3 linked regions of the Rhinolophus ferrumequinum genome follow. The main gene of each other region encodes a partner of the protein of the gene in region 3 in a complex. Links are inferred from orthologs where the notes say so. Each region holds a gene or a part of one and is shown on either strand. Other genes may lie near its edges.

The links.
Region 1: TAF1C (region 3) and POLR1B share a complex: the UniProt entries of both Homo sapiens proteins name them as parts of the pol I pre-initiation complex. The link is inferred for Rhinolophus ferrumequinum from reciprocal best matches to the Homo sapiens genes TAF1C and POLR1B.
Region 2: TAF1C (region 3) and TAF1D share a complex: the UniProt entries of both Homo sapiens proteins name them as parts of the transcription factor SL1/TIF-IB complex. The link is inferred for Rhinolophus ferrumequinum from reciprocal best matches to the Homo sapiens genes TAF1C and TAF1D.

The regions. Positions count from the first base shown.
Region 1 is NW_022680356.1:219,596-227,500, forward strand, and holds the start of POLR1B (DNA-directed RNA polymerase I subunit RPA2), read right to left. Parts: upstream 3,081-7,905; 5' UTR 2,961-3,080; coding exon 2,784-2,960; intron 1,830-2,783; coding exon 1,662-1,829; intron 1,425-1,661; coding exon 1,278-1,424; intron 157-1,277; coding exon 24-156; intron 1-23. UniProt on the Homo sapiens protein: Catalytic core component of RNA polymerase I (Pol I), a DNA-dependent RNA polymerase which synthesizes ribosomal RNA precursors using the four ribonucleoside triphosphates as substrates.
Region 2 is NC_046294.1:64,901,640-64,909,645, forward strand, and holds the start of TAF1D (TATA box-binding protein-associated factor RNA polymerase I subunit D), read right to left. Parts: upstream 3,081-8,006; 5' UTR 2,876-3,080; intron 1,381-2,875; 5' UTR 1,317-1,380; coding exon 1,258-1,316; intron 521-1,257; coding exon 145-520; intron 1-144. UniProt on the Homo sapiens protein: Component of the transcription factor SL1/TIF-IB complex, which is involved in the assembly of the PIC (preinitiation complex) during RNA polymerase I-dependent transcription.
Region 3 is NC_046298.1:29,691,770-29,698,991, forward strand, and holds the start of TAF1C (TATA box-binding protein-associated factor RNA polymerase I subunit C), read right to left. Parts: upstream 3,037-7,222; 5' UTR 2,872-3,036; coding exon 2,750-2,871; intron 349-2,749; coding exon 210-348; intron 1-209. UniProt on the Homo sapiens protein: Component of the transcription factor SL1/TIF-IB complex, which is involved in the assembly of the PIC (pre-initiation complex) during RNA polymerase I-dependent transcription.

The sequences.
Region 1 (7,905 bases), on a different chromosome or scaffold from region 3:
TTCCAAGAATCACTGCAGCTTACCGTACTGGGTATAGCCAGGTCCCCTGGATCTCCATTTGGGTCTCACCGTAGCAATGGGGAAATTTCTCCGAGGCATGATCAACATTCTGACGACCTTTTCGATGCCATTGACTATAAAATAGCCTCCCATTTCCTGCCAAAGAGACGACTTATCATGTTAAACAAAGATATGTCACTAACTTAAATGGGACACCAACTAACTGCAAACATCAAAGTCACTCCCACAGATGCGGTGTAATGTGCTGAGAGGGGCATACAGGTGACAGAGCCATGGGTCCCTGGGAAACTGTCAGTGTGTGAACTAAATCTTCTCAAGCACACAAAAAAGGTGCAGGGGCCTGGGAGGAAAGTATGGAAGGAAATCAAAGTACTTTCTCTACCAGACAGTCCTGACTTAACTTGCCTTTCTGTCCCCTAAAATGACTTCAGTTTTCAAATGACATTAAAACAAATAAAAAACGGTAACCATTTCGTTTCCAGATGAGTATGGTCCCAAACAAGGTAAAAAACTGCTGACTGTATGAAAGCTCTGGAAACCAGAAATTCAGACTATAGGAAAACATTTTTAATCGCTCCAATCAATATCACATTTCTGTAATAAACAGCTCCTATACTGATTGCCTACCATGAAGCAGGCATGCCATGCTAGTACACTGTGTTGTCATAATATGTCATTCTCACAACAACGAGTGGGGTAGCTACTGTGCCCGTTTTCAGCAGAGGAAACAGGCTCAGGAGACTGAACTGTCCAAAGCCACACGACTGGTAAGTGGAGCAGCTGAGTGTCAAACCCAGATGTGACAGTACAGCCCTCTTCCCACTGATAACACAGCTCTCCATGAAGGCACTCTGCATGTCTTGGTTACTGCAAAGCCATCTCACACAGCTAAAAGAAATGCCAAAGGGAAGGCATCTCAAGCATTTAATATGCTCAAAGAATCTTACTGTTGGCGAAGCAGACATTTTAGACAATAGTTTTGTGGATTAAGATGGCTTAAAAAATAAGTATGTCTCCAAATGGGTACCATTCAGAAAACTGGGGAAACTATCAATTCTCCCCGTAATACCCTCTACTGCATAGCCACTTTTTCACACTGTCTCATTTGAGACTCATCATGAACCATACACAATATCAGACAAGACATTAATGCCCCATTTTGCCTTTGCAGAAATGAAGCAGAGAAAGAAAAACTGGGTCCACACTCAGACCCCCGCCATCGCCACCTGGCTGCCCAGTGCCCGGAATGCGCTCACCTCTGGTTCCTCATGGTGTTCAATGAGGGCTTTGGGCGGAAGGCCGTACAAATTGCACAGCTTGGACTTCACCATGATGGGAACATAGCCAAGAAACTGCTTGATGACTCCTCTTGAGACTCCATTCACTGCCCAGCTGATATCGGCCTAAATGAAAACAATGACTTGAGAAAAAAGAAAATATTGGGATCTGCAAGAACAAATGAGCATTTTAAAAGAGGGAGGAGACCACAGATTAAATGATTTTATGCTTTTAGACTTAAAAGCTGGGATTTCTTGGATGATGGTACCAAGAAAGCAGAATTCTGGTTACACTTTATTGGGCACCAGCCTTATTCTCAGACATGTACAGCATGCGAGTCACACACTGTCACTTGCACTCACTGTCAACTTTCCCCGGTAGGTACTCCTCCGGCCTCGGCATTCTGCTGGATAAACGTTGAGCTCTTTGCAGATGCTTCCCTTGGGGACTGTGGGAGGACTGATGACAGCATCCACGACAGTGAGAGACACACGCTCCTCTTTGAAAGCAAATTCAAATGGAGGTACAGCCTGAAATGCAATTCACGCTATTAACTGCTTGCATGGCCAAGGCCCTCTTTCACTAAGACCCTTCTAAATCCCATGCATTTTCTACAAAACTATAATGCTAATGTGACACATCTAGATGACAGTGAAAACTACTTCCAGTCTACTCACACCCTCACTACGTACCTAAAACTAGAAGGCATTAACTCCAATATTTGAGTGTCTGCCACGTGTCAGATTCCTAGAAGGTCCTAGGAACGTATGTACACAGAACAAAGCTGTTCTCTGACCAAAGAGCCTGCCTACTCTCTTCTTACTTTGCATCCTCTATAAGCACAGCAAGACTAATGGGACTGCTGCCAAGGATATGGAAGCACCTCCTGATCCAGGACCAGACACTAATGCGATTCTTTATGCTGATATTTGTACAGTTCATCCAACTGTGGCCTCATACTGAGGCCAGAGTCATACAAAGAGGACGGTGGTCACCATCGTGGTTCTTCCCCTTACCCAGCTGCTGCTTTTCTGTACCACTCCCTGGGGGAAGCTTTGCTGTTCCACTGAGGAAAGGGCACCACTGAGCTCTCTTAGCATGTTAACCATGGACAACCAACTGTGGTTGAGAAGCACAGCCCAGGCGGACCACCTCCCCACTCTCTCAGCACCCAGAAACTGCTCTGCAAAATGCTACGGTTCCCAATCCCATATAAATCCACGAATCACGAATGCATCTTCCCCTGGTCGACTGGAGCCCAAGCCCCGCGCTGAGCCTGGCATAATCACGGAGCACCACCATTTGGGATTATACTGTGACCTCTCAGCCAACTCTCTGGGCCCTGTAGCCCGCCTCCTGGGTCTCCCCTTCCCTTTCTCCTCCCACCACGTCCGCCTCCGGCCTCGCAGGGCCCCTTTGCTCCGCCTGCCCGAGCGGCGCCAGCGAGCGCGGAGCTGGGAGGGCTCCTGAGGCGCCGCACTCACCTGCACCGCGTGGCCGAGCCCCTCGCGCACCGCGTAGTTGAAGGACTCGACGTGCGCCTGCGTCAGTTCCTGCAGCGCCGGCTTCTGCTGCTCCGGCGGGACCCCGTAAGAGGGGTCCGTCAAGTGCTTGAGGCTGGGCTCGCGGGGCAGGCCCCGCCACCGGCTGCCAGGATCCATGCGGCACCTGCACGCCTGCCTCCAGCCACTCTCCGAAGCACCGGAAGGAAGCACGGTGCCCACGGCCTCCTGGGAAATGTAGCTCTTCTACTTCCGCCGGAAATCTGCCCGTCCTTTACATAGGGCCGACTTGGAAGCGAAACCGTGGTGTGAAGGGGCCGGTGTACAACTGTACCGAGACGGTACGCTCCCGCCCCACTCAGCGTTGCCCTCTGGCTCTCGTTCCTTCCACCAGTAGAGGCTGGTGGAGAGCAGTCTTCAATGCGCCGCTATTTTCCCCGCGACCACTTCCCGATCATTGCTGATGCCCACCCTGGGCAGACCCCAGCCGCGTCTCGGCTTCTAGAAACAAGCTGGCTGACTGCCCTCTACCCCACTGGAATCGTGAGGGCACCTCGCGGAACGGTCAGGTGGTCTGCGCTCGCTGACGGCTTCCTTTGTCCTGGGGTCCGGCAGCCGCCACGGGGCCTCCCAGCCCTGTAGCCTCTCTGAGTCCTAGGAGCCACCATCTTTCCAGTGGGGATTTACCAAGGAGTGCCTCAACTCGTCTTCGTGTGTGTGTCTTTAACAGCCGCGTTCGCTATGGCGGGATGATCGACAGTAAACACACACACTTAAAATGGAACCCTTGGTAAGTTTACCTGTATGTCACCTGTGACGCCATCGCCACGATTCGGATAGAGTCAGTCCACCACTCCCAAGTAGCCTCCTGACCCTTGGGAATCCCTCCCTCGCGGCGATTTCATCTATATTCCTGATTGGTGGGCTTGCTTTTCCTGTAATGTCTTTGTCTGGTTTCCCTATCAGAGTTAACAGTGGCCTCACAGAACCACTTGGGACGTGTTCCCTCCTCTTCCATTTTTTGGATTGGTGTTAATTACTCTTCAAACACTTCGTAGAGTTCATCACTCAAGCTATCTGGTGCTGGGCTTTTCCATTTGGGAAGATATTTTGATCATTAATTCAGTCTCTTGTCAGGTCTATTCAGATTTTCTGTATCTTCTTTATAGTCACTTTCGTCAGTTTTGTATCTTTCTAGGAATGTGCCCGTAAATATCGATTATCTAATTTGTTGGCATACAACTGTTCATAGGATTCCCCTGTAATCCTACTTGTGTTGTAGTAATATACCCTCTCTCATTCCTCATTTTAGTAATTTAAGTTCTCTTTTTTTTCCTCCTTGCTCAGTCTAGCTAAAGTTTTGTCTATTTGATTGATCTTTTCAAAGCACTAACTTTTGGTCTTGTTGATTTCTTCTTTTTTTCTATTCTCTGTTTCATTTATTTCCATTCTAATCTTTATTATTTCTTTCTACTTTTTTGGGTTTCGTTTACTCTTTTTCTAGTTTCTGAAGGGGGAAGAAACCTAAAGGGTGTTGATTTGAGATTTCTTAAAGTTTATGGTGGTGACAATAGTTAGTAAAGTTACATAGATTTCAGCTGGAGATCTTTTTTTAATGTAGACATTTTAACATAAATTTCCCTTTAGGAACAGCTTTAGCTGCATTGCATAAGTTTTGGTATGTTCTCATTTTCATCTATCTCAAAGTATTCTAATTTCCCTTGTGATTTCTTTCTTTGATCCCATTATTTAGGGATCTCATTATTTAGGGATAATGAGATCCCTTTGATCTCATTATTTAGGACTGTGGTTTCAATTTCCACATATTTGTGATTTTCCCAAATCTATTTGTTAATGATTTCTCATTTATTTGATGTGGTCAGAGGACAGATGTAGCATAAGTTCAATCATTTTTAATTCACTGAGACTTGTAGTATGGTCTGGCATATGGTTTATCTCACAGAATATTCCACGTGTACTTGAGAAGAATGTGTATTTTGCTACTGTTGGATGGCAAGCTCTATAGATATTTGTTAGATTTAGTTGGTTTATAGTGTTTTCTACTTCCCGTTGATCTTCTATTTGTTCTATCCATTATTAAAAGTGGAGGATTGAAGGCTCCAACTAATATTATTGAACTTTCTCTTCAAATCTTCTATTTTTCCTTCATGTATCTGGGGGCTTTGTTGCTAGGTTCATATGTTTAGAATTAATTTGATGGATTGATCCTTTTATCATTAAAAAATGTCCTTTGCCTGTAGTCACAATTTTGTTTCTCAAAGCTTATTTTGTCAGGGGGAGGAGGATGGCAGATGAGGGTAATGGGGATCCCATGTATGGTGATGGAAAGAGAACTGACTCTGAGTGGTGAACACACAATGTGATATATAGATGATGTAATACAGAATGGTACACCTGAAATTTGTGCAACTTTACTAACAATTGTCACCCCAATAAGCTTCAATTAAAAAAAAAATTATTTTGTCTAATATTATTTGTCTACTATTAGTATGGCCGCTCAAGCTCTCCCTGAGTTACTGTTTGCATGGTATATCTTTTTCCATCCTTTTACTTTCACCTGCTTGTTGTTTCTTAGTCTAAAGTGCGTCTTCAGCAGATAGCACTTCAGAGTTGGATCATGGTTGTTTTGGCTTTTTAAAATCCATTTTGCCAATCTGTCTTTTGATTGGAGTGTTTAATCCATTTACATTTAATGAAACTACTGATAAGGTAGGGTTTATGTATGCCATTTTTGCTATTTGTTTTCTATTTGCCTTATATGCTCCCCGTTCCTTCATTACTGCCTTCTCTTTTGTTAAATAGGTATTTTCTAGTGTAACACTTTAGTTTCCTTGTCTTTTTTTTACTATATATTTAAAGTTATTTTCTTAGTGGTTGGTGTGTCTTGTTGTGGATCTCTTTGAGTCTATCCTACCTAGTTTGAATTTCTTGCATGCATTTTAATGTTTCTCGTCAAAGTGGGAAAGTTTTCTTCCAATGTTTCTTCCCCTCCCCTCTCTTCTAGGGCTCCTGTATGTATATATGCTGGTATACATCCACGCCTCTAGGTAGATCTCTGGAGCACTGTTTATTTTTCCTCATTCTTTTTTCTTTCTGTTCCTAAAACTGGATAATCTCAGTTGGCTTCAGATTTACCGATGGCTTCTTTTGCCAGCTCTAACTTGCTTTTGAACACCTCTACTGAATTTTTCATCGGCATCATTGTACTTGGTTCTATTTAAAATACAATTTCTATCTCTTTAATGATGATATGCCCTCTGATGACACATCGTTCTCAGTCTCATTTAGTTCTTCAAACACATTTTAAATAATTAAAGTCTGTGTAATGAGTCCAATGCCTGGGTTTCCTTAGGCACCGTGTCTATTGACTGCCTCTTTCCTCTGTGAGGCTTACTTTCTTTTTTCTTTGCATGTCCCATGATTTGTGTTGAAAATTGGAAAATTTTAATAATATAATCAGGCAACTTTGGAAACCAGATGTTCTCCCCTCTCCAGGATTAATTGTTGTAGCTCTTTGTGTTTTTAGTGACTTTGCTAAACTAAAGCTTGTATTCTTTCTTGGGTGTGGCCACTGAAGTCTCTGCTAAGTTAGCTTAGTGATTAACTAATGATTGAACAGATTTCCTTAAAAGCCTGGAGCCAGTAATTCTCCCAGTATTTGCCAAGGGGCCATGTGTGTGCGCGCACGCGCGTTTGGCATGCCCTCATGCTCAGGAAGGTGTTTTACAGCTCTGTCTTAGTCTTCACTTCCTGCTTGTGCAGATCCACCTGGTTAGAGATGAAAGCTAAGGGCACACACACAGCCCTACACATGTGTGTGGCCTTCCATATTCTTAGGAATGTTGAAGCTTTTCAAAACCTCCTATGGAAGTCTCAGTTAGGAGGGACAATCTGTTGACTTATGTATTGAATGACATGCTGGGTTCAGCCAGTGACGGCCACTTCTGGCCTGTTTTTGTATGGCCTATGTGCTAAGGATGTTTTGTATATTTTCTAAGAGTTGGGGAAGAGACAAAGAAGAAACTGCAACAGAGACCCCACATGGCTTACAAAGTCTAGAATATTTACTGTCTGGCCCTTTACAGAAAGTCTGCCTGTGGCTGGGTAACAGAATCATGGATTCAACCCACCAGTGAGTCCTAGGACAATCAACACCCACAATAAGACTATGAGACCTTAGGGGACAAAAACATTTGAAATATTATTACTTTAATGCCCCAGGCATTTTAAACATTCATAAGATCGCCGTTTTTCAGAAGTCATGTCTTCCTAGGTACAGAGCTTGTGTCCAGGATCAGAGCCAAGGGCACCACTGATTCCTTTAAAGCAGAACATGCTGTGGGGGCCACCCTGGTGCCTGACTTCTCTAGTGGAGTCCCCACCACACCCACAAGAGGGCTGGGTCCACTCTGCTTGACACAACCACAACTGCTCATGAAATACACTCTGTAGCTTCACTGTGCTGTGGTTCTGTGCATCCCGGACCGTCCCAGCACAACCACGTCTCCCACGTCTGTGACAGCTGTCCAGGGCGCAAGGGGGATAGCGTGTCGGCTGGTAAGTATGCCAGCACCTGCTCCACCGCATCAGGCACTGAGGCACTTGAATGTTCTGGGCAGAGTGGAGTTCGTAATCCCCTAGGAGTTAGTGTGAGGACAGGGGCTTTTCTCTCAGGAAGTAGTAACCTTAACATGTAGTTAGCAGATTGATAAGCCCCCGTCTGTTTACACTTGTTGCCAAGGCTTCCCAGACTGTAAATAGACAAAGGCTGTTTGACATGAAGCAAAGAGAGAAGCTGCTTAGACGGCACTTTCTAGTCGCATAAGTACCTGTGTCAACATCTGGTCATTCTTAAAGAGAAGCCTGTCCTTCCAAAAGCCCTAGGCCTTATTTGATTCTCCCAAGGTAATAGTAATGTGTTTGTTCTCCCTTCTATTCTATTCTACGGTTCAAGGCACCTCTATGCACACTGATGCCTGAGGTTCCAGTTAATTGTCAAGGTGGGGGAGGGGGACAATGTGGACACCAGCACTGCGAGACGCGTCCCAAGTGATCCCAGCACACAGCACTGGGCACCTTGGTA
Region 2 (8,006 bases), on a different chromosome or scaffold from region 3:
TCCAGCCAGAAGCCCACGTGAAGTTTGAGCTGAAGGATAGGGTGGTTTTTAAGTGGCAGTAAGTACATCAAAATCTAAGTGACCAACAAATCATTTCAAGCACTTTTGCTATGGTATATCCACATATATAAAATACTGACTCACCTCAAAGCTTAAAATTTTTCTCCAAGGTAGTGATTTTCTCCCATTCTCTGATTCTAAAAATGGGAACCCAGGTCCTTTAGCTTTAAATTGTTTATTTATTTGTGACCTTCTAGTGTTTTTCCTTCCTTCTGGTCTTCCCCTTGGTCTTCCCGTTGGCTTATATTTCCTCTTTTTATACTTCTTTTTTTTCAGTCTTTCAAAAATAGCTTTTAAAGTCAATGGTCTTGGTTCAAAAGATGAGTCACTAGATGAATCTCTTGCTTCAACACTTTCAGGTGAATGAACAAACTTTCTAATTGTGTTTCTTTGCCTCCGTTTAGGTGAGTGAGGAACACACTGAGTTTTAAATAAGCTGCTACCAGAGGAAGAGTTATCACTAGGGAAAAAAGGGGGAAACTTAATTGCATCCTCTTTATATAATAGAATGCTTATTACCAGTAAAGTACTTTTCTTTCACCAAAGCAGGAAAACATGCTCAAGATAATTTTTAAAGATGGGCTCAGTACTAGCCAAGCACTTAGTTCTGATCGCTCTACTTTAAAATAGCCCCAAAGGCCAAAGCACTCACCAAATAAACTTCCAAGAGAAATACAAGTTCTACTCAGGCAGTCTTGTTCAATGCTGGAGGCTCCTTTAAATAACTCAAGAGTTGCCTAGTAGGTATACTAGAAATACTGATTTGATTACCCATTGAAAACAACAGATGAAGTAAGGAGATACCGCCATCAAAGACATAAGCCAAGCATAATGTGCAATAAGTTGTGTTTTTATTTTCCGAAGTTGATTTTTAAGCAAGATTGCCCACTGATGTCCATTTTCTTGTTATAAAATTAGAGTTAGTCAGGAAGAGATAGATATTAAGTTGGCCCAGAGAATATACTGTTTTCCTGGGTTAAGAAAGTGTTCCACTGTTAACTACGTAAGTACATAAACTTGGAAGGTCTATGTAAACCAGGTTTTTCTTTTCATTCCTAATTCTTGAAAATTACCTTTACCACTCATTATCTACAACGATTGATGCCTTCCTGGTGATTCAAATACAGTAAATATTATCATCGAATCTAGTGTTTTCCAGTAAAAAACTGGTGGTTAACACAAAAAAAATGCACTTACCTTTGATTGTCAATTTCCATAGCTGAATCAGATGCTGTTACATAGTCAAGAGAATCCATTCTTGATATGTATCTTCTCCAAGTCAAAATTATATGTCACTTGTTCTTTGCTTTAACCAAATTTCTGACAATATAAAAAACAAATATGTAGTTTCCTTGAACAAATCAATGCCAGCACAAACAGCTAATATACCAAAATGCAAAATCTGATGTAGTTAGATTATGCCATTATATGTAAATCATGGCAAAAATCATTTACAGGCCTTCAATATTTTCATTTAGGAAGCAACCATTTCAGATCAAATTTTAAAATCTAGAAGTTTTATTCACAAGTTCTTTCATTTGTGTCTCCAAAGTTATCCAATGGAACAAGATTCTAGAAAAGTACTGTCATTCCCAAGAAAAATATCAAACATCTTCCTATAACAGTAAAAAATATAATTTCATCACTAGCCATATAGTAATGTGCAATTACGAGTATTAACATTCAATTAGTGGCCCAAAAGCCATTTTCCAAGAGCAGATAGGAACTCCTAGGAAAAACTTATAAAGCAAGAAGGCAAATCATGGCCTCAATATACCAGGAAATATAATCATCACAATTTACTATCTCAATCCAATACACCACACTAAACTCCCGGTCTGGAATTTTCATTTATGGCCTCTTTCCATTCATAATACGGCTTATCAAAATCAATGAAACCCTCTTTCCTGGCATATTATCTCTTTGCCATTATGGGTATTAATTTAAAAATTTTGAATTCTCAAACGTTTCAATGAAAGATTAAGACTACAATGGTGCCCTTTGTCTTCCTTTTAAAAAATCTCTTTGGAAGATTTTAGAGTAGTTTGGTACAAAATAATTTTTAAAAAACATAACATCTCAATACTGCATCTCCCTTATAGAAGATGCTATCATTCTGCCACTTTTGTATAGGTGGGAATGACAAAATTGAAAGGAATCTTAGGATAAAATAGCAAAATATTTCAAATATTGGAAATCAATAAAGTCACAAAGATCTTAGATTTGTAAAATATCCAGCAGATTCACGTGGTATCTTCATGGTATCATTGTAGTTTTTTAATGCAACTTCTAATTAAGTCACGAAATAAATGCACAAAAACGAATTCAACAAAATTTGGACCAAAGGCACTGGTGGTATTCTTGAGGTTAAAGTGGAGTTAACTCAAAAGCCACTTTTTCGGACCCTTGTTTAGAAAGCATTCCTACTTAAGCGTCGCTTCCTATTCTAAGATTCTACGATGAGAGGCCACGTGGCCAGACAATGCACTTTACCAGCGCTAACTATACCTTTCAACCACTTACCATGTGTGACCTTGGGGCGAGTGTTTCCAGGAAGGACCTAACCTCATGCATGGAAAATGGCGTAATTGTTACTTCACACTAATTAACTCAGAAAACCTGTATTTGTCGATAATACTTTATAATACAACCCAGACACAATGGATCACGCCCAAAACAACCGCGAGCCCTCCACCCTCAAGGCCTGACTTCTACGGCTCGCTATTCCCTAAGCAACGTGGTGGACCCGGTAAAAGGTAGAAAAGCAACCCCTCCCTGCCCCACCAGCCCCGTGCGGCCATGTTCTCTTCCTTACCCATCCAGGTCGGCAGTCAGCTTGCACCAAAAAGGAGCGGCTCACTACGGAACTCCGCAGCCTACTCGCAGGCTGTAGCCCAGGCCTCGGGGGTCTGCACCCAGCAACCTTCCGGGCTCAGCACTCCAACGTGCCGACATCTACCCACCTCTCCAAGGACCGAAAGAAAAGGCTGAGGTAACTGCGCGACCCACTTAATAGTGGGGCCAAAATCTCGCGGTAACAATGTACTTCCGGAAAGAAAATGAGAGGCGGGAGACGCCATTTTGATCTCCGCGAAAAGAGGAGCGATTAAAAGTGGGCGGAGCTTTAGGGAACTCAGAGGAGGCGGAGTTGAAAGAGACAGGATTCTGGTGCAGGTTTCCCTAACCCAGTAGGTAAGTAGAACAGCCAAGAACATTTCAGCAAATGACAAAAAGAAATTGTAGGATCAAATGAACGGAATGGATGCAACCTGAGAGGAAACAGCCACTCAACATGATTTGTTTCCGGTGGTCTCGCCTTTGCTTAGCTGTGGTCCAGGGTGTGTGGGGGTGTGGGGATGAGTGGGGTGTCTGTGTGCGGTGCCGAGTGTGTTTTGTCATATTATGGATAGTTTTGTCTTCAAAAAAAAATGTTCTCTGTTACATTGTGAAAGGATCATGCCTTGACCATTATTCAAAATACGTAACCTTTGTACTAGAAGCCAGTGTTACTCTGTAGCACACCCAGTTCCTCTCTGCACCTTTGGACTTGTTAGCTCCCTCTTTCACTTCAAACTGAGGGGTCAGCTTCTCAGGAGTTGATTAACGTATCACAAGAGAAAACAACTTTTTTTTCTGTTTTTTCCCCTTAGTTCCCTAAACGGTTACTGAGTGTTAAAACAGTTTAAACTAGCTAAATTTTGGTGGGGTTTCTTTCCCAAAATAGTTACAAAAAGGAACTAGCTGGTTTGATTTGTCCACTTTCATACCTCTTTTATCATATGATAAACCAGTAAAGCTGTCTAGTGTTAGTTTATAGTTACTGTCATCTCAGGATTGGACAGACGTGGAAGGTAATCTGGTCTCTTCACTCAGTTTTCCTCCAAATATTGAACAATTCCAGGCGTAAAGTCTAATCCTTTAGGCATTTCCAGTCTATGAAAGGTAAGTATCACATATCTTACGGCCATATTCAGGAGCAGGCCTGGCCATGTAATCTGTGAGGCTCAGTACAAAATGAAAATGCAAGGTCCCTTGTTCAAAAATCAGGGGGAAAATGTTAGTTTATTATTGATAGCATTATTGTGATATTAATTATGCTATTATTAATTACTAGCATCAATTTGCTATTTAATTCACTCTAAAGAAAAATTTTAAATTATTAGCATGAATTTTACCATTCTTTATATTGTGCGCTGCCAGTTTTAAATACACATATAAGAACATTTAACTCGTATGGAGAATCACTGAAATTTCACAATTCATATTTCATAACTCATATAAACATCTACTGTTCTTACTAAAACGGTGGGGAATGCACAAAACTAACTCACCTGTATTTATTTTACTTTTTGATGTACACTCTATCGGTACTATGGAATCTGAGGACTTTTGTTGGGATGGTTTTTCCTGCAGGCAGCCCCCCTAAGAGCTCAATCCCCCTCCTCCTCCCATACCTTATCGGAGATGTCTCCCGCGGGGACAATAGTTAGAGGCCTCCCTGTCAAAACAAATGTTAAAGAAACACAGCTGCTAGGGACAGATCTCCCTGGCCCCCTGGCCAGATTTCCCCCCCAACCTGGAGGCCTAAACATATAAAACAAAGCGCCTGACCCCAGTTAGTGTTCAGTTCTTTGGGAACAATCCCACTGAGCCTGCTAGCGTAATAAAGCTGTGTTCTCCCTGATCTCTGCGAGCCGCTTGAGTCTCTCGGTCCTCGTCATTTCTTCCGCAACACTTTGAGTCTTCCTAAACCCCCATGTATCATGAGTCCACCAGAATTCTATGCTTACCCAGCTTCACAAATGCTTTATGTGAATGGGGGTAATTTGGAATGATGGTGGGCGTGCACATCGTGCCTCTCTCCTCTCATCCCAAGCATGCTCCTTTGTCCTATCAGTCTTAAACAAAAGTTCAAACATAACATTAAGAATTTCAAGATGGTGACAACAGAGCATTAAACCAAGTGCCATTCTGAGCATATTGCCTTGTGTAACTACCCTAGTTGCACACCCATGAAGCCAGCCCTGTCCCAGGGCCTTAAGTCTGGTACATTGTTAATGTTCAGTAAATAATTAGGCTGAACTGGTGTCCAGTTTGCTACACACTTGGAAGTGCTAGAAAAAGAAACAAGGCAAAATGGGATCACTTTTGCTAAGCACATTCACCAAACCAAAACCTAATAACTAGTCTAATTGCAATTTTAGCCTTTCCCAGGAGTGGAATTTTTAAGTAATCGGTATAGAATATCTTGATCAAAACTAGTGAGGTAAACTGCTTGATAAAACCCTTGGCATTCCCTTTACCCCAAAAGATGACCTGGCCTAAAAATAATCCTTTCTATTCTTTTGCTAGTATCTTGCCAGCCACACCCTTCTGCTTATAAAAACCTTCTATTTTTTACAACCCCTGGGAGCGCCCTTCTACTTGCTGGATGGGATGCTACCTGATCCATGAATCGCTTAATAAAGCTAATTAGATCCTCAAATTTACTCAGTTGAATTTTCTTCTTTAACAGAAGTCAGATAAGAGAAACACAGTTCTATCTTCAGGGATCACAGCCTAGGGGGAAGAAACAGAGCAACAGATGGTGACAGGTAACTCCTGTTACCCAACTTGTGGGTTGGGTTTTCAGTTCTCCCAGGATGGAAATCGTGCGAGAAACAATGAAATAACCAGTTGTCAGTAAAGGAGAAAAGAATTTTTATTAAAGGAGGATGGGATGGTTTGATGCATCAGGAGAGCTCACAACTAATGCTGGAGTGCCTCCTCATCTGGCTGAGTCCACCTTTTACACGTTTCTCAGTCCTTTGTTCTTGTTTGCTCGGGGAAAACTGCTGGCTTCCGCCTGCTGGTTCCTCATGACTTTTTTGCGCAGGCATAGTGGCCGTACATATTCTAACCTACTGCTTCATGCATAGCATGTTTAATTAGCATATGAAATCTCCCAGGGGTGTGTTTTGTACTATGCTAATAAGCTAAGGTCAAGAAAAGGACAGATTCTAGACTTAAAGTGCCTGCATCTATCTAAAGTGCCTGCATCTATCTAAGTCGGAACTTCCCGGGCCTGTCAATTTTCTTTGTGGTCTTCCAGCCCTCATAGCGGTTGTTTTTATTGATTAGTTAACCTTGGCTTCCTGCCCTTTGAGTACTCTCACAGATGATTTTCCAACATCTACCCCAACATTCTGAGTACTGTAAGATCACTCTATGCAAATTCTTCCTATTTGTTGAAATGTGTCATTCCTTCACCAGTTAACTCACATGATATAAAGTAATAAGTTCTGGCTTTACAGTGGGCTGGACTTAGTTTGAATTCTGTTTCTACCAGTTAATAGCTGAGTGATCTCTAGTCAATATAGTGTTTTTAACTGACTTTCTCTTTTATGAAATGAGGATAACATACATCGTTGTGAGAGGTTTTGAGAGAATGTAAAGTGCCTAACAGTGTGTCTAGTACATAATATGCAGTTAATAAACAGTTATCAGCTTGGTTGCCATAGTTTGTTTACCCCTTTTGGGCCTTGTTTCTGCAGCTCCACTTACCCAACTGCCTATTTCTATTCTTCCCTTCGCTAGACCTTACTTCTGGGCCACTGACTCCCAGCAATGGAATCTGAAGAATAAATATTGTGTGCCTCCCTGTGGCTCAAAGCTGTCCCCCTGTGGCCACTCTGACTTTGTATTACAACCTTTATAATTCCTTTCTCTCATCACTCCAACTCCAACCTCCTCTTCCCTCTCACACTATACACGCACTACCACACTGCCTTCCAGAATGTTGGCGGGGCTGAAGTTCTACATTTCTAAACCAATTATTCAGGTAGTAGCCTCCCAGGGTTGGACTTTGTTTCTATTTTGGTGGGTTTGGGGAAAACAAAAAGCAAAAAAACAACTGATCATCTTTTAAAGGGTGTAAAATCAGGTTTGAATTTAAACTTGAGTCTTTATTATTTCTACTATAAGTAGAAATATCTAGTGCTTTTATTATCCTCATTATAAATGTATTTATTCATTGAGCAGATTTTGACATGTTCTTAATTAGTACTTGCTGGTTTCTATAAAGAAAATGTGGTAAGATGTTAATACTTGGGAAATATTGTTGAAGAGTATACAGAATTATTTGTATGTAATTTTCTGTCCATCTGACATTATTTCAAAAGTTAAAATGGCTAATTCCTGAACAGTTATAGATTATTCAATTCAAAAATGTTTGAGAAAATTGAATTATGATTATATAGGACTTGGGGCCCATTATCAACTGTTTATATTTTATTTGAGACCAGTTTATGCCTATTAAGTAATTAAAGGATAATAAAAGTACTAAAGTAAATGTCAAGTCCTAAATGTATGCAATAGCATGTTTGTAGGGGATGTGTTTGGAATTATCATCAAAACTAAAAACCCAATTTCTAAGAAACTTGTGAATCTTTGGAAAAGTTAAAAAGAAATTTTTGAAAGAATTTTTCAGGGATGCTGAAGGTCACCTTTCAGTTACTAAGTAAGCATGGACCAGACTATTCAGATTAATGAGGTTTTCCATTAACAATTTTAATGAGAACTCCAACAGTGCTCTTAGAGATACTCTCCAGTTTTGCCTTTATACCCTATTGCAACTAGCCTCCAGTGGGATTTCTCACCCACCTTATTACTTTTGTTTGGGTTTATTTTTTTCTTTTGCCTTCATTTTATTTATCTCCCTCTGCTTGCACACCTCATCACCTGAACATTTGAGGTAAGATACTAATTTCTATGTATATATGCCTACTTACTGTAAAATACACTTAACCATATATTTTTAAAATATTATAATTGGTTATCAAAATAATTGAACATTAAAGCTGCTTACCAAGAAATGAAAGTAATTTGAATTTCAAAAGCTAATCTTTGTATAAGTTTCCATTTATCTTAGTAATTTAAATTTCTTTTGTAAAAGTGATAATCTAAGA
Region 3 (7,222 bases):
GACAACAATGCTTCTGGGACAGGTGTCGTCGCCAGCACTTGTCTTTTATTAACTCATTCAACCCTCACAAGGAGCCTGCCGAGTTGATACAACAGTCATCGTCACTTTACTGATGAAGAAATGCAGACACAGGGAAGCTGTCACTTGCCCGAGGTGACACCCAGTAAAGAGAAGGCCAAGTGAAGGCTCTCTCTCCCTGCCATCCTTACCTCGGAGTTCTGGGGCAGGGACTCTGGCAAGGTCAGTGCATCTCTCCAGCTGCACATGAAGGACGTGTCAGGGACATCGCTCAGACCAAGTGGGCCGGTCATAAACAACGTGGGGCGGAGGGAGCTGGGGAAATCCATCCTAGAAAATAAGAACCACACGTCACACTGGCATTCTCAAAGGCCTGAATCTGACCAATAGCCTCCAGAGTGAAAAGTGCCCTCAGAGGAGTATACTTCTTTGAAGGAGCAGATAATGAAGAACAAATGAGTATGTAGCCAACTGCCAGAGACTAGGAAGTACTGTATTAAAACCAACCAACCAACCATGAGGGAGGGGATGGCGATAGGCCAAGGGTGTGCTTTTAGCCATGGAAGCCAGGGAAAGACTTGTTGAGAAGGTGGCTTTTGGCATGGCCTGAACCTACCGAGGAAGAGAACCACAGACAACAGGGAAGAGGGTTTCTGGCAGAATGAACAGCAAGTACAAGAGTCCTAGGGCAGGAAGTGTTTGGGAAACAAGTAGGAGGCCATCCAATGAACAAGAAGAGTGGCCAGTGGCAAAGGATGAAGACAGGTGGCAAGGGGTCAGCTTCCATCATAGCTCTTAGGTATTATAATCACGTATTTGTAAGCTACGCGCCCTACACTCCAGGCTACACTCCCAGGAGTAACTCAAGTTCCCCCAAGCCAGGCACTGAGTCTTATTTGTCTGTCTTAACCACTGTCAAGTATAGTATCTTCCAGAAAACACATTATGTGTTGAATAAAAATAAGTTCAGTGAAAGGGCTTTGCTACATACAAAGTGCTCTAGAAGTACAAGTAGCCACATCATCCCTCTTTTTCTTTTTTACTAACAGCACAAATCACAGCAGCGCTCACTCACTGAGTGTAAACATCTGCCAAACACAGGACGACATGTGTTAGCCTTCTAGTCTCCCTATTTTGGAGTTTAGGAAATTGTGGCTCAGGAAGGAGCCACTTGCCCAAGGCCAGCAGCTTCCCCCATCCAATTCACAGTCCAACTTCTGCACCGCCACTGTCCTGTGCATCCCAAAGCAAACACGAGCATTCGGGTCTTCGTATGCACAAATCTTTTCCCGTGGAACCGCTGCTGCATTTTATCAGCTGATTCTGTAAGCTCCGTACATCCACGTATCCTCAGGACCACGCCAAGTGTCCATCACACAGTAACTACTTGTCAAACTTGTCCAGCAAGTCAGCCTCATCCCAGCGGTATAGTCTTATCTCTTCCGCTAGACTGCAAGCCCTCTGAGGGCAGGGTCTGTATCTCATGCATTCCTGGGTTATTGGTGCCTGGCTGCTGCTGTCATTCCCTTTAACGTGACCAGAGAGAACAGTGGAAGGAATCAAGAAGATGCTCAGTGAGTCCTTGTGAAAAACACTGGCTGCCATAGGAGGGACTGTACCGACGGCAGTGAAAAAGCTCCCTCTCAGAGGCGGCTGCGTCCCTGATACATCAGTGTGAGCATGTCTCTGGGTTGTCTCTGGTTCCTGGGCTCCAATCACACTGACCTCCTCTAGGTTCTTCCTCACCAGGCTTTTCACCACAGGGTCTCTGCACACTGTCGCTCTGCTTGAAGCGATTGCCAGGGTCCTTCCGGTCTACCGACAAAATCCTACTCAACATCCTACTTGACAAAATCATCCTTCAGATTTCCAGTCAGGAAGTTCTCCCAGTTCCCTCAACGCCATCCTCCCACGATACTCTGCATGCTTTCTCCAGAGCACGCACTGCAACGTGTAATTACATAATTAAAGATGTCACTGTTTGATTAAAAAGCGGGAGAGGGATTTTATCCCCAGGGCCTTGGTGTTTGCTACACGGTAACAATCAGCACCAGTAAGCTGAAAGAACAAATCCAGGGATGAATGAACAACAGGGTAGTCAGGGGTTCACATAGCCGGAGCCTGTACCTGGGGAGAACAACCTTGAGCCCCATCCCCTGGCCAATAAGCAACAATGAGCAAACAGAGCCATAATCACAGGAGAGATAAGCAGGCTCAGGAAAAGCGTCTAAAGTTGTACATGCACATTAGTGAAAAGAGCTGTCCTATAGTTAACTTTTCTTCATTCGAATACGAAAAAGCACTCTGCTAGGCAGAGTCTTAAGATGCTAGCATGAAGTAGCACGTAGGTACACTGCACAGGTGCATGTAGGACCCACTTCAACATACTTTGGGGAGGGAGACGAGAAAGAGGAAGCAGTGGCCTCCAGCCCCAAGAGTCTATGAAAACCGCTGTGACTGTAAACTCCGTGAGCTCTATGCTCTTCTCTATTGGAGTGTGCTCCCGTGGTGCATCAAACTCTCGCTTTAATAAACCTTTCTCTCTGCAAAATTTTCGCCCACTGTCTTGATTTCTATTCCGAGAAGGGCAAGGACCCGTTACAAGTTACCGGGCGCCGGTAACCTGAGAATCCAACAGCCTCAAACAAACCCAGGCAGCCCGAGGGTGTTGGTGGAGCCCGCGACCTCAGGAAAGCCTCTAGAAAAGGCAACCTCAACTTCCCAGCCTCACCTGAGGCTCTCCAGGCCTCCTCGGACCTCCAAGGCCGCGTTACTGCCACGCGGGACTCGCAGGAAGTGGGCCTGTAGCAGGAGATGGGTGAAGGGATCCGGACGGTCCCTCCCCTCATGCATCTACTTGGCCACGTCCTCCCTACTCATCTCTTCCAACTCCCACCTCCAGGCCCTAGAATTTCAACAGCAAAGGACTCTCATCAAACGCTGTACACCAGACAGCTTGGGGAGCGTGGACTCGCGCGGAGAGCAGACCCGAGCTTTCTTCTCGGCCCCGGCACCCCTCTTCCTGCCGTCCAGCAGGGCGCGCGCACTTACGTGGCCCGGGCCTCGCGGAGCTCGTCTGAGACATGGACCTCCACGTGACGCTCGCCTGACCCTCGTGACACGAGGGAGCCCAAAGCAACACCCTAGCTCCAGCAAACACCGATGAATCAACCTCACAACGGTAATTAACGGTCTTCCGGACCTAGCCGGAAGTGCTCCCTCGAAGCAGGAAGTCCCGCCTCCCAGCCTGGCCTTACGGGCGCCCCAGAGCGCCACCTTCCGGGAGGAGGGGGAATGGGAGTGGAAGTGGTGCTGTGGGCAGTAGAAATAAAACCTCAAGTCCCGATAGTGAAGGCCACGTTGAGGAGAGTTCGAATTCCACCTCTGTTTAATTAACGTCCTATTTTGCAGGATTGTTTTAAGTATTAAATGTATTCCCTCAGCAAACACTTTCTGGGCACCCACGATGAGGCACTGTATTAGTCAGTAGGAATCCTAATGATTCCTTATATCCTATGTCCTTATATCCTATGAAGTAGGCTTTACATATAGGTGTACAGATAACTCTGGGGATGCATGAGTTTTCCCCAATGGTCAGGCAAGTATAGCTTTAGGCATTGATTCTCAAATTATGGCGTGCATCAACATCACCTGGAGGACATGTTAGAACATAGTTCCTGATTCAGGGAGGCTGGGGTAGGACCTCATAATTTGAGTTCCTAAGTTCCCAGATGATGATTCTGCTTGCTTAGGGGCCAAGTTTAATATAAGACCCAGTATTATATTGTATTATATTATACCCAGTATTATATTATAATTATACCTGGCCTTATATTATATAAGACCCGGTCTTATTTTACTATAAATAAGTATTTATTTTACTATAAATTTTACTTATTTTACTATATTTTACTTATTTTACTATAATTTTTGCTCCAAAAGACGCATTAGAGCTGATTGTCCAGCTAGGTCTTATTTTCGGGGAAGCACGGTAGTAGCTCTCAAACTTGATCATGTATCAGAATCTCCTGGAGGTCTTGTTAAAACAGCTTGTTGGGCCCCACCCCAGAGTTTCCAGTTTTGTAGATCTGGGATGGATCCAAGAATTTGCATTTTTAATGAGTTCCCAGGTGATGCTCACGCTTCTGGTCCAGGCACCACACTTTGAGAACCATTTAAAGAATCAATTTCCAGAATCTTGGCTTACATCTATAGTATATTAATAGTTTTTATCTGGGAGATGTTTGGAATCAGATGATTCCCTTTTTGCATCTCCCCTTTCACGATTACTTTTTTCCCCACTTTGTAGTACTGCCCAAGATGGGCACTGAACAAGGAGGGCGATTCCAAAAAGTTGCTTTCCTGCAAGAGAGTCCCTGTGAGACTAAGAAAAGCAGGTTCAGTAAGAAGTAATGATGGACGGGTGCAGGAAGGAGAATTTTGGGGGCTGACAATATTTTGTTTGTTCATCTGAATACTGGTTACATGGATATGTTCAGTGTGTGAAAATTCATCAAAAGATTTATGCACTTTTCTGTACATACTATGTTATACTTCACTAAAGAGTCTTTTAAAAACAGAAGAAAAGAAGAAAATATTGCTGGCCGTGATGCTATCTCATTGAGATGTTAACTTCTTGGTTAGGCTAAGGGCTTTCCCAGCTACCTATCTCAGAAATAGAATTTAGAAGTCACTCTAGGAGGGTGGGAATTCTTCTGTCTGTGCTGGTCACCAGTGTATCCCAAACAACTAGAAGAGTAGATGCTTGATAAATATTTGAATCAATGAAATGAGATGGTTCTTCTGAGAAAATATCAACACATTTATTTAAGTTGAATAAACAAAGTCAGACTGTTTCTAACAAAGAGTAAGTCTGATTTAGGTGAGTGGTTTGACTATGAGAGTAGGCTTTGCCAGTTAGATCATTTGGAGAGCGTTTTTCATAAATGAAATAGGCTCAGTCTGCATCTCTATGGTTTTGATAAAATATACTGGAAGGATTATTATAATAAATAATAAGTTAAAAATTGCTCCTTTTGTAATTATTTAAACTTGTGACTAAAATATTTGGGATAGTTTTTAAAAACTATTTTATGGGTATGCATGCAAAAAAATTGAAGACTATATTAGTTTCCTTTTGCTGCTGTAACTAATTACCACAAATTGAGTGGCTTAAAACAACCCAATATCATACAGTTCTGGAGGTCAGAAGCCTGAAATGGGTCTCACTAGGCTAAAATCAAGGTGTTAGCAGGGCTGTGTTCCTTTCTGAAGGCTCTAAGGGAGAACCAGGTTTTTTTGTTTGTTTGTTTGTTTGTCTGTTTGCCTTTTCCAGCTTCTGATAGTTGCCTGAATTCCTTGGTTCATGGCCCCCTTCCGTCTATAAAGCCAGCAATGGCCAGTTGAGGCTTTCTGGTGATGCCATTTCTGATTTTGACTCTCTGTCTCCGTCTTCCCTATTAAACGATGCTTGTGATTACACGGACCTACCCAGATAATCCAGGATAATTGCCCTATCTTAAATTCAGCTGATTAGAAACCTTAATTCCATCTGCAACCTTAATTCCCCTTTGCCATATGACGCAACATATTAATAGACCGTGGGGATCAGGACCTGGACATCTTTGAGAAACTATTCTTTCACTTTCCACTCTTACGAGCCACCCATCCAGCTTCTGCACTGGGAGGTCAATTCCATTTCTTCCTTCTTTCCTTTCTCTAAACAAGCTGTTATGTTTCCTTTTGTTACTGCGTATTACTTAACATGCAGTAAAGTGCACAAGTCTTAAGTATACAACTCATTGAGTTTTTACATACATGTAAACTTAAGACAACCACTACCTAGCTTAAGACAGAGAATATTTCCATCTCTCCAGAAAATTCCTTGGTGCCACTTTCCAGTCAATATCCCCTTCAAGAAGTAACCACGATTCTGACTCTTACCACCATAAATTAATTTTGCCGGTTCAAGAACTTTACATAAATAAGATCATGCAGAAGGTACTCCTTTGAGTCTGGCTTCTTTCATTTGTCAACTGAAAAATAATATGACTAGGTGTCTCATCACCAAAAAAAGATTTGGGAAAAAGAAGGGTTGTAACCCAGGGCATGTGAGTATGGCAAGCCATGTGCACACTCTGGCCTGCATGCCAAGATGGAGGAGTATTTAGAGACGGGAAAAGGAAGTTAATGGAAGGGGAAGTTAGAACTATGGAGCTTTACCATAAACATAGACTTCTTCCTGTAGGGTTCTGATGTGTGGGATTCTTGCAATTACATAGAGTGCAAGAACTTCCAGAAGCCCTAGCTCCTCCCATAGCTCCTCTTCACTGATTATGTTGGCTTAAAGTTCCACTTCGTCTTTTATCACATTTAACATGCCCATGAGATTTACCCATGTTGTGCAGTAGTTTCTTTTTTTTATTTTTTTTCATTACTGAGTAATAGTCCATTGTATGACTATATCACCATGTGTTCATGCAATTTCCTGTTGGTGACCTTTCTGGGTTTCGCAACTCTGTTCAAGTCTCTTTGTGGATATGGGTCGCCATCATTCCCTTTCTGAACACTGCTGTGCTGGGCCTAATTCTGCTCTTTGAACTATACCCCAAAACCAGAATGGTTCTTCCTGCTGCCAATCCTTGAAATGTTTGGGAGGTTGAATCTACTCTTCCTCCCACATCTACTCTTTCCAAGTTAAACAGTCCTGGTTCCACCACCTGCTCCGTATATGCCCCAGATCACACACAGCAGCAATCCTGGTCAGCGTTGTCAGACCCAAAGGTAGCATCTCCAGCAACACTGGGACACGTCTTAGAGACTGTGAACTGAGTAACTGGTCGGGTTTTCCCCAGCACCGGCTCCTATAAGACTCGGTTAAATTTGTGGCCCCCTTCATGCTATTGTGTTCTGCATCATAGCAGGCCATATGAAAATTGCCTTTATCCCTAATTTCATCTTAATTTTGTTATTTCTCCTTCATTCCTACTCCCTCATCTTAAAGAATGGCTGTCTTGTGGTATTTTTATGACCAACTCAAAATCCCTTCTGAAGAACAAAAGGACAGGGTGCCAAATATTTAATTTTGGCTAAGGAACACTTCCAGTTGGCTTCAGGAAGGCGTACAGTTTACAGTTTTTAAATGTAAATCCTGACTATGCCGTGGGATTGTTTCAATTGAGAACACTTTTATTTATTGGATGAG